Linked DNA regions of Macaca mulatta. The protein of the gene in region 1 interacts with the protein of each later gene in a pairwise test. Links are inferred from orthologs where the notes say so. Each region holds a gene or a part of one and is shown in the gene's direction. Other genes may lie near its edges.

Region 1 (4,779 bases):
GTTTCCCTATGTTGGCCAGGCTGGTCTCCAACTCCTGACGTCAAGTGATCCACCCGCCTCGGCTTCCCAAAGTGTTGGGATTACAGGCGTGAGCCACTGTGCCCGGCCAATAAATTTTTATTATAACTTTGTATTTAAGTAAGTAATGAGGAAACAATATGGAAGAACGAATACTTCATTTTAATTTGTCTTATCTTCCAGGGTGACTGTGAAGATCATGCTAACCTTCTGTGCAGCCTTCTTCTTGGATATGGATTAGAAGCCTTTGTTTGTGTTGGGACCAAGGCAAAAGGAGTACCTCATGCATGGGTTATGACTTGTGGAACTGATGGGACCATCACTTTTTGGGAGAGTTTAACAGGACACAGGTTAGTCTACTAAGTGTATAAGGATATTAAAATGAAGTTATAAGTTTTTTTTTTTTTTGAGACGGAGTCTTGCTCTGTTGCCCAGGCTGGAGTGCACTGGCACAATCTCAGCTCACTGCAACCTCCACCTCCCAGGTTCAAGCCAATTCTCCTGGCTCAGCCTCCCAGTAGCTGGGATTACAGGTGCACGCCACTGCACCTGGCTGATTTTTATAATTTTAGTAGAGACAAGTTTTCACCATGTTGGCCAGGCTGGTCTCAAACTCCTGACCTCAGGTGATCCACCCACCTCAGTCCCCCAATCACGCTGGGATTACAGGCGTGAGCCACCGTGCCCAGCTTAAGTTTTAAGTATTTTAAATTATAAGGGTTTTTTGTCCATATTGATGGTACTTGAAGGTACGTGTTGATGATTTTAGTTAGAGCCTTTTTAGTGATTACGTAAAAAAGTACTTCAATTATGGCAGCTAAGTAAATGAACTCTAAGAAAATTTTTACCTCAAATATTCTTTACCAACATGATGTTCGTAAACAGTAAATTATATTTACTAGTTGTGTATGATTAGCATCTTTTTTTTTTCAGTTTTCTCTCTTTTTTTTTTTTTTGGCAGTGTCTCACTCTGTTGCCCAGGCTGGAGTGTAGTGGCACAGTCACAGCCCACTGCAGCATCCCCTTCCTGGGTTCCAGTGGTCCTCCTACCTCAGCCTCTTGGGTAGCTGGGACTGCAGGTGTGCACAGCCATGCCTAGCTAATTTTTTTGGAGGGATGAGGTTTTGCTGTGTTGTCTGGGCTGGTCTTTAATTCCTGGGCTCAAGCAGGCTGTCCGCCACGGCCTCCCAAAGTGCTGAGCCACCACGCCTGGCCGGCATATGTTTTTTTCTGATGATCATCCCTAAGCCTGAAAATAAGTTCAAGTTGTAAATCATTATTTCTTTTTAAAATTTGATGTGGTTACCATCTCCATGTTGGCAATCCACTGGACACATTTTTTGAAGTACTTTAGCCTGTCATCAGATTTTGAAAGAGCTGAGTACCTCTGTTGTAGGACTTCCTCCTTAGTTCAGCTAAGAGCTGGATCTTTGTCACACTGCCACGAAAAATTAGGCTCGTAGGCAATTTGAAGGGGGAGAAAAATGGAATTTATTGGACAAAAAGGAAAAAAACTGGGAAACAGGGACCCTCCACAAAGCCAGAGCGCCCGCTAGTGTGCTTCCCGCCTCGCAGATTCACTTCCAGGGTCCACTCAGGAAGAGGAGGGGCCAGGCTCCTCCCCACTGCAAATTGCTGAACTTGTGTGGCTCCACCCCAGTGTACGCTCCTCCCAGTGCACAGGCTGGTTGGAGTTTCTCTGGGGACCCCTTTCCACCTGGCTGTCTCACTTCTCTTCCTGGGATATTCTCTTTCCTTAGCTTATTTCTTGTAATTGTCTTTCAGTATTCATTATTCCTCTCTGGCTGTTCGCAGTTTTTCCTTCATCTTGTCTTCAAATGCATGTGTTCTAGAGGCTTGGCCATGGGCCCTCTTCATTTCCCTGAGTCCTTTTTCTCCCTGGTTGATAATCATGCACAGTGATGTTTTGGTTAGTTGTGCCTAAAAATGCATAACCAGATTATTTTAATTATGTTATCTAAAGCAAACTTTTTTGATTTTTTTTTTTCTTGGAGACGGAGTTTCACTCTTGTTGCTCAGCCTCCCAAGTAGCTGGGACTACAGGCACGCACTCCCACGCCCAGCTAATTTTTGTGTTTTTAGTAGAGACAGGGTTTCACTACGTTGGTCAGGCTGGTCTCGAACTCTTGACCTCAAGTGATCTACCTGCCTTGGCCTACCAAAGTGCTGGTATTACCGCACCCGGCCTTTGATCTTAACAGTATACACAGAATGTATTCTGTTGTTTAGAGTTGGTTTCAGTATTGTAAGATGTACCATACAATTAATACAGAGTAATCAAATTGTGGAAATAAAGAAAAAAAAGTATTAAACTCTAGTTCTGAAAAAGTAGTTATGGCCTTAAGTGTTAGAATAATTTTCTCAGTAAGATGCTGCCTTCTTAATTTTTAAGTTCTCATATGTAAAATTATTTAATTTTTTTAGGTACATCCATAAACCTGCCAATCCTGATGAACCTCCAGTTGCTGAACAGCCCAAACCACTGTACCCATATCGAACGATTGGTTGTGTTTTCAACCATCAGATGTTCCTGGGAAACTGTCAACCGTCTGATGCAGTAGAAACCTGTGTCTTTGATTTGAATGATGAATCCAAATGGAAGCCCATGAGTGAGGAAGCAATTAAATCTGTGTGTGCTCCTGGAGCTACAACATCCCTTCCTCCCTTTCCACCTCTGTGCGCGTCCACAATCGACGCGTCAGTAACAAGCAATGACATTGAGATGCAGCTGAGGCTCCTAGTGTCAGAGCACAGGAAGGTAATTCACACCGAGACCGTTGTGGTTTCCTACTTCTTTTCATTTGTGTATTGTTGTATTTAACTCTTTTCTGGTGTGTGTGATAGTGCCAGTCACTATTCTAGACCTGAACAAAACAACTATAGTCCCTACTATTATGAACCTTATAATTTTGAAAGTCGTGAAAGTTTAAGTTCTGAGACTCAGAAATCTCCAAATTAATTAATACTTACAGAATGAATTACTTCCTCTTAGAAATGAAGAATGGTGAACCTGTTCACATCCCTTAGAGTCAAGATTTTTGCTGAATACCACTATTTGGATTTCCTCTTTGTGAAATGCTTATTCACATATTTGCCCCTTTAAAAATCCTGGGTTAGGCTGGGCTTGATGGCTCACGCCTATAATCCCAGCACTCTGGGAGGCTGAGGTGGGTGGATCGCTTGTGCCCAGGAATTCAAGACCAGCCTGGGGAATATGATGAAACACTATCTCTATTATTTTTAAAAGAAAAAATATGTATACTGGGTTATATTTTTTTCATATTCATTTTTCTCCCCAGGTTGGTTCCTGTTTGTTTTCATATTATACTCAACTAAGTAGATGTCTGGCTTTAATCTGCATTTCCCTGATTACTTATGAGATCAAGCCTCTTTTATTTTTATTTTTATTTTTTATTTTTAAGATGGAGTCTCTCGCTCTGCCACCCAGGCTGGAGCGCAGTGGCGTGGTCTTGGTTCACTGCAACCTCCACCTCCCAGGTTTAAGCAATTCTCCTGTCTCCGCCTCCTGAATGACTGGGATTATAGACATGTGCTACCATGCCGCCAATTTTTGTATTTTTTGTAGAGATAGGGTTTCACCACGTTGGCCAGGCTGGTCTCGAAGTGATCTACCTGCCTCAGCCTCCCAAAGTGCTGGGATTACAGTTGTGAGCCACTGTGCCCAGCCAGATCAAGCCTCTTGTCAAATAGCATGAAGATTTCCTTTGTAAAGTGCCTTTAAGAAGATATAAAAAGTATTAAGTCATAAAGGAAAAGATTATATCTTAAAGACTTAAGTTCATCAAAAGAAAACATTAAGAGATTGAAGCTGTGGGGTGGGAAAAGTTATTTGTAACACGTATCACCAACAAAGGACTCGAATCCAAAATTCCTACAAGATTGAGTTCTCATTCGCCTTTTAGGGTTCCCTGTTCCAGTCCCCACCTTGGGTGAGCCCTGTTTTCTATGTTCTTTGAGGCTATCAAAGGCAAACTGATTTATCAAACATGTTCTCTGGGTTCCCAGTTACTCTTAGCTTTGGCCTCTAATATATTTCTTATTCACTTGTCAACTTACCAAAGCATTTAAATATATATTTTGGAAAACTTGGCGTTTGTAATATGGTTTCAGCAAGAGTTGGTCAGGATACCTCTGGTCCATTATATTGCTGGAAATGAATGCCCCTTATTACTTTTTATTTCCTTCCATCACTTGTATTGCCTTTAGCTTTCTTTTCTTAGGTTCTGCTTACAAATAAAAGCAGTATCTTATAAGAATTACTTTTGGCCAGGCATGGTGTCTCACGCCTGTAATCCCAGCAGTTTGGGAGGCTGAGATGGGTGGATCGCTTGAGCTCAGGAGTTCAAGACCAGCCTGGGTAACATGGTGAGACCCTGTCTCTACAAAAAGTACAAAAATTAGCCGGGTGTCGTGGCGCATGCCTGCAGTCCCAGCTACTTGGAGGCTGAGGTGAAAGGAGCCGGGGAGGCGGAGGCTGCAGTGAGCCGAGATTGTGCCACTGCACTCCAGCCTGGGTGACAGAGTAAGACCCTGTCTCAAAAAAAAAAAAAGAAAGAAAGAATTACTGTTTATAGAAAAAGAAAACGAAGCTGTGACGGATGCCAGTGTTGATCACTATTTAAGTTAAGGTGCCTATAAATCAGCAAAAGTTCACATTTTGCCACAGGAGAAGCATTGTTAACCATGGACCTTTGAGACCATTTGTGACGAGTTAAAACT
Region 2 (5,286 bases), on another chromosome or scaffold:
ATGGCTCTGGGTTTAGGATTTCAGAAAGTCTTCCCCACCCAACACTATAGGGCCTTGCATCAAAGAGATATGGTGGGGAAAGCCAGAATGGAAGGGAGACAAAACCATAGCACCTTCCTCCTCCCCCTCTGGACCCCATCACTCCTGCCCTGATCCAGATTACTGCTGGCCCTCCCCACTGCCTCCTAGTTCTGCCTTTATGGTGCAGAGTGTAAATGTGTCTCATGCATTGGGATTCCCTCCCAGCTCCTTGAGCAGCCCAATCCCAAGGGACTAGTTCCATACAGGGTAGAGTACAGACCCTGAGCACTACACACTGCAGCCTTGCTCCCCAGGCTTCTGGCCAAAACTGATCACTGAGAAGGTGGCATCCACTGGCAGACAGCCACCCTCAGTGCACCTCGTTCTGCTCACTGCACTGACTGCACGCTGCAGCCTCCTGCCCCACACTGCAGCTGTTGCTTGTCTCCTGTGAGCCCAGACTGAACACAGGTTCGCTTACTGCATGGAGGCTTCGCACGCTGCAGCCTCAATTCACCATTACAGCTGCCACTGCACACCACAGGCTCCCTTCACCCATGGCATGCCCTCAACACCACCACTGCACTCTGCACGCTATAGGTTTCATCCCAGTTGCTTTTCTCATCTCCATAGTTCCAGGGACCCCAAGAGAGGTACCCTCCCCTCCACCAAGAATTACAAACTCCAGTACCCCCTGTGAAAGAAGTGGCTTCAACAGCACTGAGGATGCAGGTGGCTGATACTAAGACATGAGCAAGGGCAACCCAACTTGGGTAAGCTGTGGGTCAGAATCCCACACTCACCAAGTGATTCTGCCCAGTATAAACTGGGCGATTAGCCGAGCAGCTCCCCCTAACACACACACACTCGCATACACACACACACCCCTCCCCAAGAGCAGACTGTGTAGCCAGAGCCCCACCCTGAGAGCCGTGGGAAGGCCGTGGCCCCCGCTGGTAAAACTGGGCTAATGACAGCAGGGGAACCGGCGGGGCCAGGGGGGTGCTGGGGTAATTAGGGCTCAGCCTGGCGCTAGGAGATCCTGAGATGAAAGGTGCTCTGGCGTCACTGGGTTGGTTTTATGTCCATGAATGCAGGTGTGTGGTGTGTGTATGTGTGTGCTGGGGGTGGGGCTGGCATGGTGGAGACCTCTCCTTTGGGTTGGGTTAGGGGGTCCATTTGTACGCAGCCCACCGTCTTCCTTAGGTTGACTCTGGTACCATTTGGATTTTCGTGGGAGCAAACATGGGGGGAAATACCATCACCGGGGAGCTAGGAATTGAGGGGGTATGGCAGCTCTTGTCCCCTCCCCAGCGCAGGAGAGGGAGCAGATTGTTGGGGAAATGGCTGGTGACAGAGAATAGAAAGAGCCTATATGGAGAAGGGTGACGTTGGAAAGGGGAGGCAGTGGTTCGGTATTGATGTTAGAAATGAGAGGGGAGGGAGGTAACGGGGAATGAGCCCCCACAAGGATTAAAAACGTAAGATGATTGAAGTTAAAAGGACATCAGGGGTCACCTGCCCAGCCTTCGCACCTGAAGCTTGAGGAAGCTCTGCCCCCGACAGCAGTGGCGATTTGTCAAGGTCACACAGTGAGTTACTGGCGGAGAAGGGACCCGAACACCCAAACAAACTCTACACCTGCAAGCATTTGGTGTTTAGACTTTCTCCCCCATGTATAAGGTGCAGGCGGCTCGTCGATACTTCCTCCTCCACCCCCACGGTGCACACCCGAAAACCCCCCAATTCTCCCGGCAAGCAAAGGCTATTTTTTAATGACATCTTTTCCAAAATATGTCACCAAGTACCCACTCCTGCGGGAGCCGCCCGGGCGGGGGAGGGCGAGTCAGAGCGGGGCGGGGCAGAAGCGGCCGAGGGGCGGCCGGGCCTCTGGCGGGGGTCCCGGGGCGCGGCAGGGGGCGGGGGGCGGGGGCGGGCGGCGGCGAGGCGGCCTGCAGGGAGCAGCCGCGAGCCGGCCGGGCGCGCCGAGCCCGAGCCCCAGCCGGAGCGGGGCGGGGGAGGGAGGAGCCAGAGCGGCCGCCGCCTCTGCCGGAGGAGCCGCGGGGCCGCCACACTCGCCCCCCGCCCCCCCCGCGCTCACTCGCACTCACACCCGGGCGCAGGAGGCGGGCGGCCCGGGCCCCACCGGCCCCCCATGGACGCCCCCAGCACGGGGCGCTGAGACCCCCGCGTCGCTGCCCAGCCCGGTCCAGCGCGCCACGCCGAGGTAAGGAGGAGGGAGCGAGGGCATTAATATGCAAATGCCTTGCGATTGATTATGCAAAGCCGCGGGGCTCCGTGGCCAGCTCCCAGGCGGGCTGGGGGCGCCCAGGGGGTACCCGCTGCCAGCCTCAGCCTTTCCCGGCACCCCAGTGACCCTGTCACGAGCCCGGGAGCGTCAACTGACGCCCTGGGGAAGGGAGGTGTTGTAGGAGGTCGGTGGGCCCCGGGGTTCGCAGGCGGAGATGGCGTCCGAGCCTCCCCCTCGAGGGCCCGCCCGGCCTCTGTCCGGCCAGTCTGCTGCGCATTCCCGGGCCGGGCCCCGTTGCCGGCCGCCGGAGCTCCCCCCGCCCGCCGCGCCGCGGTTTGTTTACGGTGCGCCGGAGGCCTGCCCCCCCCAGCCCCCACCCCTAGCCTCTGAGGCCGAGTGGCCTTTGCAAAGCTGCCTCCAGCTGCGGAGGGCAGTATGAGTGCGGTGGCGGTGGTGGGCTTGCACGGGTCCTGGGAGAGGGAAGTTCCCCCCCTCGCTTCACCCGCCTCCCAGTTGAGCATGGCTGTCTGGTTGCAACACTCCTAATTGCAAAAACGCGGCTGTTGGGGGGAATGTGTGTGTGGAGGGGGTGTACTTGATGGTGCCTAGATGATTAGGAGAGTTGCTGGCTGGGGAGGACAGGGAGAAATGGACCTGTTTGTGTACCCCACCTTGTTTCCCTCCCCTTGCAACGTGTCTCTGGTGCCCCTTCTGCATGTGGGGCCCTCCCTTGTCCAGCGTGAAAGAAAGGCCTGGGGGATGACAGGGGCAATTGAAAGAACCACCGTTCCAGGGGTGGGGGTGGGGGACACAGAAGGAAAGACAGTGAGGTGGGAGCCTGCCCCTCAGTGCTGCCTTTGGCTCCAGGAGGGGGAGGGGATGAAGGGGGCTGTTGTCCAAAATAAGGGGGGGAAGCAAAAGTGACATGCAGACACAGAGATATGTCCACACAGACAGCCACATGCACACCCAGGGACACCCAGGCGGACTCAAGGACAGGAGCTACTGGACACACCCACATGGGGACAAGGGAAGAGGCAGGCTGCTGCTGCACCGTGGAGCTCAGACGGGTGGGATATACCCACGGGAGACCAAGAGCATGGGGACCGACCCATGCACATACCCACCCACACACAGGGTCACACGGAGATGCTGTCACACACTGGGGCAAGGAGGAGTTGCTGTCACCCACACATAAAAAGTCACTGTCACATGCATGCATGCACACAGAGCAGTTGCACACAGCCGCACAATTACAAAAGACCCTGTCACTCACAGGCACACACGTGCTCGCATGAGCCCAGTCACACAGACATCATTGCTTGCCGTGACAGTCGCTATCACTCAGTCAGATGCAAACACAGTTACACATCAACACATGTATACACAACTTAGCAACAAGTATTTTCCTGGACTCTTACTGTGGAACTCTGAGGTTCTGCAGGCAACAAAACCCTTGCTCCCAAGAATATTAAATTTGGCTGTATGAAAAGGTGTTCCTGCGTAATGGTGCAAAGCCTGCATTCCTAATGACATCTTCTTGGTCTCTATCGATTGAGATACCACCCTACTAGACAGTGAGCTCTTAGAGACCTGGGAGAATCACTTAAAGAGCTCTGGATGCCACCCAGAGCCTAGCACAAGGGCTGCTCTGTAAATACTTGTGAGTTGATTGACTGTGGAACCTGCAGACACAGGTGCACTCATTTGCACATGGTCCCCTGAACTAAGGTACAGAACGAGTTCATGAGGCCCAGGTCCCCACAGTTGCAGGTCCACACCAACAGTCGTGTCCACACAACCCCAGATGCACACAACTGGAGCCTGTGCAGCCAAGCACACACTTAGATGCACACAATCACAGACTTTTCCCCTTCAGCTTCCTCCTCCCTTTTTCCTCTAGGCTCAGCCACTGTGCGGGAATGGGCTTTTTTTTTTTTTTTCTTTTTTTTCTTTCTTTCTTTTAGAGGGACAGAGAAACAAGAGCAAAGACAGTGGGTTCAGGGGGGTTCCAGAGGGCCGAGTCATGGGCTCAAAGCAGTATCCAGTGACTTCTAGAAGCTGGGATTCTCTTGACTGCTGGGGGAGGGGAGAGCTGCTCTTCTCCCTACCCTAAAAGCTCTGGGGTGTCTAACTGCCCCTGCTCTGAGTCATTTGCCTGGGCCTTTCCTGGGAACAGTCAGTCACCCCCAGCTGAGTTCCTGCATCCCACCTTGAGTCTGGCCCTTTTTCCCACCTGGACCCTTCTGTCCAAACTTGGAAGCTTTCCTTAAGAGGCCATCGGCTGACGAGTGTCTGTATGAGTGATGTGTATTTTTGACTTGGAATTTCTCTCTAACTCTGTCTCTCTTTCTGTTGTTCTGTCTTGCAGTGTCTGATTCTCCCTCCCTCTCTCCTTTTTCCTCTGCCAGTCTGTAACTCTCTCTCGCCCTGTCGCTACCCCCCGTCTACCCCTGTCCTTGTCTCAGAGCTGGGGACTGGCAGCAATGTTCTTCATACTTTTCCAGTTGTTAATACCCAAGCTCCGCCCCTCGGCCCCCCCTGTGCAGCCTCTGGGGTCAGCTTGAGGTTGGGGTGGGGGGCGGGGGGCTCAGCTGGCTGCTCAGGACTTCCTGCACTTCCTTAGTGCTGCAGCTGTGGCCAGCAAGTTTTAGGGGCTGGGAACGGGGGAAGAGAGGGGGGGTCAGCCACTGCCCATGCTGACCCCTCGGGCCTGCATGTCTGGAGACACCAGTTCTGTGGGCACCCTCAGGGTGCAGGCTGCAGCCAGCTAGCAGCTCTTAAGCAAGCCCCCCACACTGGCCCAAGCTGGAAAAGAACCGCCCCCATGGGCAGTGGGGGAGCTGGCAGGACCCTGCTGAGTTGGGTCCACTGCAGGGCTCACAATGGCCTTTCTCCACACCCCTGGCAGCTGAGGCCCACCTCAGAGATGCCCAACAGCTGTGTCCTCTTTGCCCAGCCTCAGGGCCTGGTTCTGAGGGCACAGCTGCCCAGACTAAGTGTGTGCTAAGCGA
Region 3 (5,420 bases), on another chromosome or scaffold:
CTTTTCTTTTTTTTTTTTGCATTTTCCTATACTCCTCAGTATACGGATGAAGTTTTAGGACTAACCCCAATTACAGATAAGGAAACTGAAGCAACTCCCTTTCCTTCCTCTCTCTCAGCTCACTTTCTCATAAAAATGGAAATGCAAAATGAACTTGGAACTCACATCTTCTTTACTCATGAACCCAGGCTCTTAAAACCTATGTACTCCTGCTTTTTTGATCAATAATTAATAGTAATCATCTTTATTATTAGCAATGATGATGATGAAGATGATGGAAATACGGTAATTTTTTATGTTGCAGGAGCAATTCCAGCTGCTGTTCACATGCAGTTCACATTTATCCTCACAATACCCCTGTCTCTTAGGCTAGCCGTAACTTATCTTGTTACACCCATTTGATACACAAGTAAACTGAGACTCAGAGAGATTAAGTAACATGCCTAAAGTTACCCAGCCAGCAAGAGTGGGATGCAAACCCAGGCAGTTTGGCTGTAGAGGTTGCATTCTTAACCTTTAATTTTCATGCCAACACTTTGTCAAAGTCATGCATTCCTTTTTTTTTTTTTTTTTTTTTTTTTTTTTTGAGACGGAGTCTTGCTCTGTCACCCAGGCTCGAGTGCAATGGTGTGATCTTGGCTCACTGCAACCCCTGCCTCCCAGGTTCAGGTAATTCGCCTGCCTCAGCCTCCCTAGTAGCTGGGATTACAGGCACCTGCCACTGCTCCCAGCTAATTTTTGTATTTTTAGTAGAGACGGGGTTTCACCATGTTGGCCAGCCTGGTCTTGAACTCCTGACCTCAGGTGATCCACCCACCTTGACTTCCCCAAGTGCTGGGATTACAGGCATGAGCCACCACGCCTGGCCCAAAGTCATGCATTTGATAGAGCTGCATTTCACCTTCTTAAAAGGAAACTGGTGTGGCCACTTTACAGGTCATGAGCAGGACTCAGATATCCTCCAGGTTACCCAGATGGTAAAAGCAGCAGGGCTGGATTTCATCTCAGATGATCTGGTTTCCAGTCATGCTCTTTTCCTATGCTGTAAGAGGCCCCTCATAGGCCAATTCAGAGGGCAGGGTTTAGGGACAAGAGGCACACAGCAAATTGTACAAGTCCTGGATATTTGGCAAGTGTGCTACAGTTTGCAAAGCATGTTTGCAACTAACAGCTCCTTTATGCTGCCCACAGAGCCATCTGGATTCATCTTCGGGCTTTGTGGACTTGGCAGGCCCTGGCCTAGACCTCTTCTCCTGCCTCACTTCCCTTCAGGTCCCCTGAGCTCCAGGCCAATTGGGCTACCAGCTCTTTCTTTTTTTTTTTTTTTTTTTTTTTTTTTTTTTTGAGACGGAGTCTCGCTTTGTCGCCCAGGCTGGAGTGCAGTGGCCGCATCTCAGCTCACTGCAAGCTCCGCCTCCCGGGTTTACGCCATTCTCCTGCCTCAGCCTCCCGAGTAGCTGGGACTACAGGCACCCACCACCTTGCCCGGCTAGTTTTTTGTATTTTTTAGTAGAGACGGGGTTTCACCATATTAGCCAGGATGGTCTCGATCTCCTGACCTCGTGATCCGCCCGTCTCGGCCTCCCAAAGTGCTGGGATTACAGGCTTGAGCCACCGCGCCCGGCCGTACCAGCTCTTTCTTGTACACGTGCCCCAAGTTCCCACCTCTGAACTTTTCTTAGAATGCCTCTGCTTCTGTCTAACTCTGTACATATCTTCTTCATCCTTCAGAGTCTAGTTCAAATGCCTCCTCCAACAGGCAGCCTATCCTGATTGCTTCAACTGGAAGAGAAAGGGGAATGAGAGGAGGAAAGGAATAGACATTTCCTGAATGTTTACTCTGTGCCAGGTGTGTTATGTAACCTCACAACAACTCTGTGATATAGTTTGTTTCTGCTGCATTTTATAGGCAGAAATTGAGGGGAAATGACTTGCTCAAGCTCACATAGCTAGGAAGGATGCTTCTGGACTCCTCGTCTAGTGTTCATTCTCCTGGTCTAGTCAGGAACCTTGCGGGGCTAATGAGGGCCAATATTCCACCTCTCTGCTTCTTGGTGGCTGATCCCTGGGGGTGGTGATCTGGTCCATTCCCTCCCTGCTAAAGCCAGAGCTGCTGACAGCTTGCCATTGGCTCTTCAGCCAGGGCTGGCTTTTGTTTCTGTGGCCCAGTTGCTGAGTCAGGGCTTTGTCTCCCAGGGGCCCCTCTTCCCTCCCTGCCTATAAGAGCCTGACCTCGGCTGGTCTCAGATCTGACATGTTCCCTGGGCCTATCTCGGTAAGTCCCAGGTTTGGAGGAGGGATGGGATCAGAGTTCTGAGTGAGCATCCTGGGAGGTGAGGAGCCCAGGTCCCCAGTCCTAGGGATGTCACTGTGTCATCCTGAATGCCATCCTCACCTAACCAATGATGAGCCCCAACCATCAAGACCAGCACCTGCTTCCCTCATTTAAAAACAAAATTATTCCTGTAGCCCTGTTGCCTAAATTTCCACCATTAGAGCTACTTCTTTGAGCTAGGCGTTGTCTTTGGAAGGACTGTCATTTTAGCACTTGCTGGGGTGATGTACCTACCCACCAACAGCCACAGAAATTTTCCCATAACAAGCAGATAAGAGAATACAGAGTGGGGCTTAGAGTCAATGAGACCCAGCAAGGGTGAGTTTTGAGATGGGGATAGGATGGAAGATGGCACTGGTGACAGATGGAAAGGACAGGAGAGGGACAGGCCAAAGCCATGCATTGCCCCTAGCCCAGTCACTCCTAGACTCCCCATGTGGATCCTGACCAGGTCTAAGCCAGCCATCTACATAAAGAGGACAGCAGAGGGACAGGGTGGACTATTATGATGTTCTTCTCTTCTGTAGGAAGGGGCCACGATGACCCTGCAATGCACCAAGTCAGCGGGACACTGGAAGGTAGGAAGAGGCATGGGGAGGGCGTGTCCAGGAGGTGTGGGGAGGGTTCAAGTCCCCACGAATCCTAGGAGGAGGGTATTATAAATGCCTATTTCACAGAGGTGCAATCAAGACTCAGAGTCGAGAAGGGACTTGTATGTCACATACAGGGAGGTCGAATGTGAACTTGGGTCTTCTGGTTCCCAAAGTTGACCTGTTACACTCTTTGGCAGAGATTGCAGTCTTTGGGCATGATTTCTTTGACCATCTGTGTGTGTGTGTGTTTGTTTTATAAAGCTTTTGGATTTATCATCAGCCTTTAAAAGCCTAGAAGAACCACATAAAAGTCCAGATCTAGGGATCGTATTGAGAAATTGGAAGGTCTGGCTTGCATTCCCACTGGGCAACCATTGGTGGCACTGGGAAGAGGCCACCCATCTACCTGGCACCTGTGCTCTCTAGTGTCTCACAGTCCTCACTGTCCTTGCCTGCCTGGCTCCTGGAGGCATCTGAGTTTGCAATCCCTGCTTTACCTGCCAGATCCTGGGGTGAGCCCTCAACCCTTCACCCTCCATGGGACTCTGATGCGGATCTCCACCTTCTTTTTTTTTTTTTTTTTCCTGGCACAGATGGTGGTGTGGGATGAGGACGGCTTCCAGGGCCGGCGGCACGAATTCACGGCCGAGTGCCCCAGTGTGCTGGAGCTTGGCTTCGAGACTGTGCGATCTTTGAAAGTGCTGAGTGGAGCGTGAGTCTAGGGGGATACTGAGTTGGGGTAGAGGGTGGACAGGAAGGGACCTAGAGATGAGTGCTAGGACTTTTAGCTATTCTAGGTCCTCTTTTCCTAGTGTGCCCTCTTGAAGCGCTGAGGAGTGTGCAGGACTGCCATGTAAGGTTATGCAGGTTGTGCACGGCCCAACAGTGGGAGGGTATCATTTACCCAGACCCTGCCCACTGGATGAGGCAGCTCTGCGGGAGAAGATCCTTAGAATCCAGGGTTGGATCTAAAAATGTCCCTCCTAGCCATAAATTGAAAGCCAACATCACTCACCAAAAGTAGAAGGTAACTATAAAAATGAATATAATGTTTTAATGCTATTAATTTTTAGCTAAACAGTCTTGTTGCCAAGCATGTGGCCCGATCATTTTTTGTAAAAAAACAAAACAAAACAAAACAAAACAAAAAAACCCAAAAAACCAAAATTAAAAAACAAAAAAGAGAGTGAGAGAGAGAGAGAGAGATTGTGAGATGTAGAGAGGTGTTAAGGACACAATAATAACACACCAAGACTTTCTAGACCAGTGCCATTCAGTGGACCTGTCTGCAATGATGGAGATGTTCTACATCTGCACCATCCATTTCAGGGCCACTGGCCAGATGTGACCATTAAGGATTTTGAAAGGTAGCCAGCATGACTAGAAAACGGAATGTTTTATTTAATCTTAATTTATTTAAGTTTAAATTTAATTAACTACATGTGGCCAGTAGCTACCATATTAGATAGAAGGTTGTAGAAGGTTGGAAAGCAAGTAGAAAGGAGATATGGCCAGCAGCTACCATATTGGATAGCAGGCTCTAGAAGGTTGGAAAGTAGTTAGAAAGATGTGGCCAGTAGCTACCATATTGGATAGAAGGTTCTAGAAGGCTGGAAAGTAAATAGAAAGGAGATGTGACCAGTAGCTGCCATATTGGAAAAAATTTCTGGAAGGTTGGAAAGTAGACAGAAAGGAGATGTGGCCAGTAGCAACCATATTGGATAGAAGGTTCTAGAAGGTTGGAAAGTAGCTAGGAGATGTGGCCAGTAGTTACCATATTGGATAGAAGGTTCTAGAAGGTTGGAAAGTAGATAGGAGATTTGGAGTCACTTAATCCTATGCCTGTGAGTGCCACCTGAGGTCATCTTGGGTGATTTTTACACATCTCATGCTTTAGTAAATACTCTTTTAGCTTCTGATTTGTGCAGGTGGGGAATGGGGGTCAGATAGGAACAGAGACTTTCTAGGGGTATGTCCAGCAGGCTGACAGACTCAGCCAGTAAGCAGATAATGAGTTCGGATAGATTCAGACAGTTTATTACTTACACAGACAGCAAAGGCAAGGTGCGCATGGTGTCAGCTTCCTGTGTCCCTTGTCCTACGGGATGACACCAAAACAAAGGGGGCCGAATGACAGGCAGCAGGAATGGTGGGAACCCTGTGTCTGAAGAACTGCTTCCATGCTTCAACGATAGCTTGCTATTGTCACCTGTGGGGCGGTGAGGTGGAAAGCCCCACGTCTGAGTGGCCAGACAGGCAGATGAGGAACTGCCTCGTGGAAGCCTCTCACAAGAGAGGGAGGAATATAAGAGATGGCCTTGCAGTAGCTCCTCACAAAACGGCCCGTCTCCTACACCCTGGCAGGATCACAGGGAATTCCACCAAGGTGAGGTCAGTCTGTGATCAGCTTTGACTCTGCGGCCTCTGTGGAAACCAACAGAGGAGCAATGTTGTCAGGGCACCTGTGTGAAGCAGTTTCCCTACCTATGGGA

What was found. The genes of interacting proteins can lie anywhere in the genome.
Region 2: the proteins of CEP76 (region 1) and THRA interact in binary tests that used the Homo sapiens proteins (3 or more experiments, as listed by UniProt). The two-hybrid records come from large-scale screens. The link is inferred for Macaca mulatta from reciprocal best matches to the Homo sapiens genes CEP76 and THRA.
Region 3: the proteins of CEP76 (region 1) and CRYBA4 interact in binary tests that used the Homo sapiens proteins (3 or more experiments, as listed by UniProt). The two-hybrid records come from large-scale screens. The link is inferred for Macaca mulatta from reciprocal best matches to the Homo sapiens genes CEP76 and CRYBA4.

What each region holds. Positions count from the first base shown.
Region 1 is NC_133423.1:83,352,377-83,357,155, reverse strand, and holds part of CEP76 (centrosomal protein of 76 kDa), read left to right. Parts: intron 1-201; coding exon 202-368; intron 369-1,782; exon of another isoform or gene 1,783-1,959; intron 1,960-2,463; coding exon 2,464-2,797; intron 2,798-4,779. UniProt on the Homo sapiens protein: Centrosomal protein involved in regulation of centriole duplication. Required to limit centriole duplication to once per cell cycle by preventing centriole reduplication.
Region 2 is NC_133421.1:64,419,997-64,425,282, forward strand, and holds the start of THRA (thyroid hormone receptor alpha), read left to right. Parts: upstream 1-2,120; 5' UTR 2,121-2,248; intron 2,249-5,286.
Region 3 is NC_133415.1:24,935,483-24,940,902, reverse strand, and holds the start of CRYBA4 (beta-crystallin A4), read left to right. Parts: upstream 1-2,254; coding exon 2,255-2,275; intron 2,276-2,862; coding exon 2,863-2,913; intron 2,914-3,521; coding exon 3,522-3,640; intron 3,641-5,420. UniProt on the Homo sapiens protein: Crystallins are the dominant structural components of the vertebrate eye lens.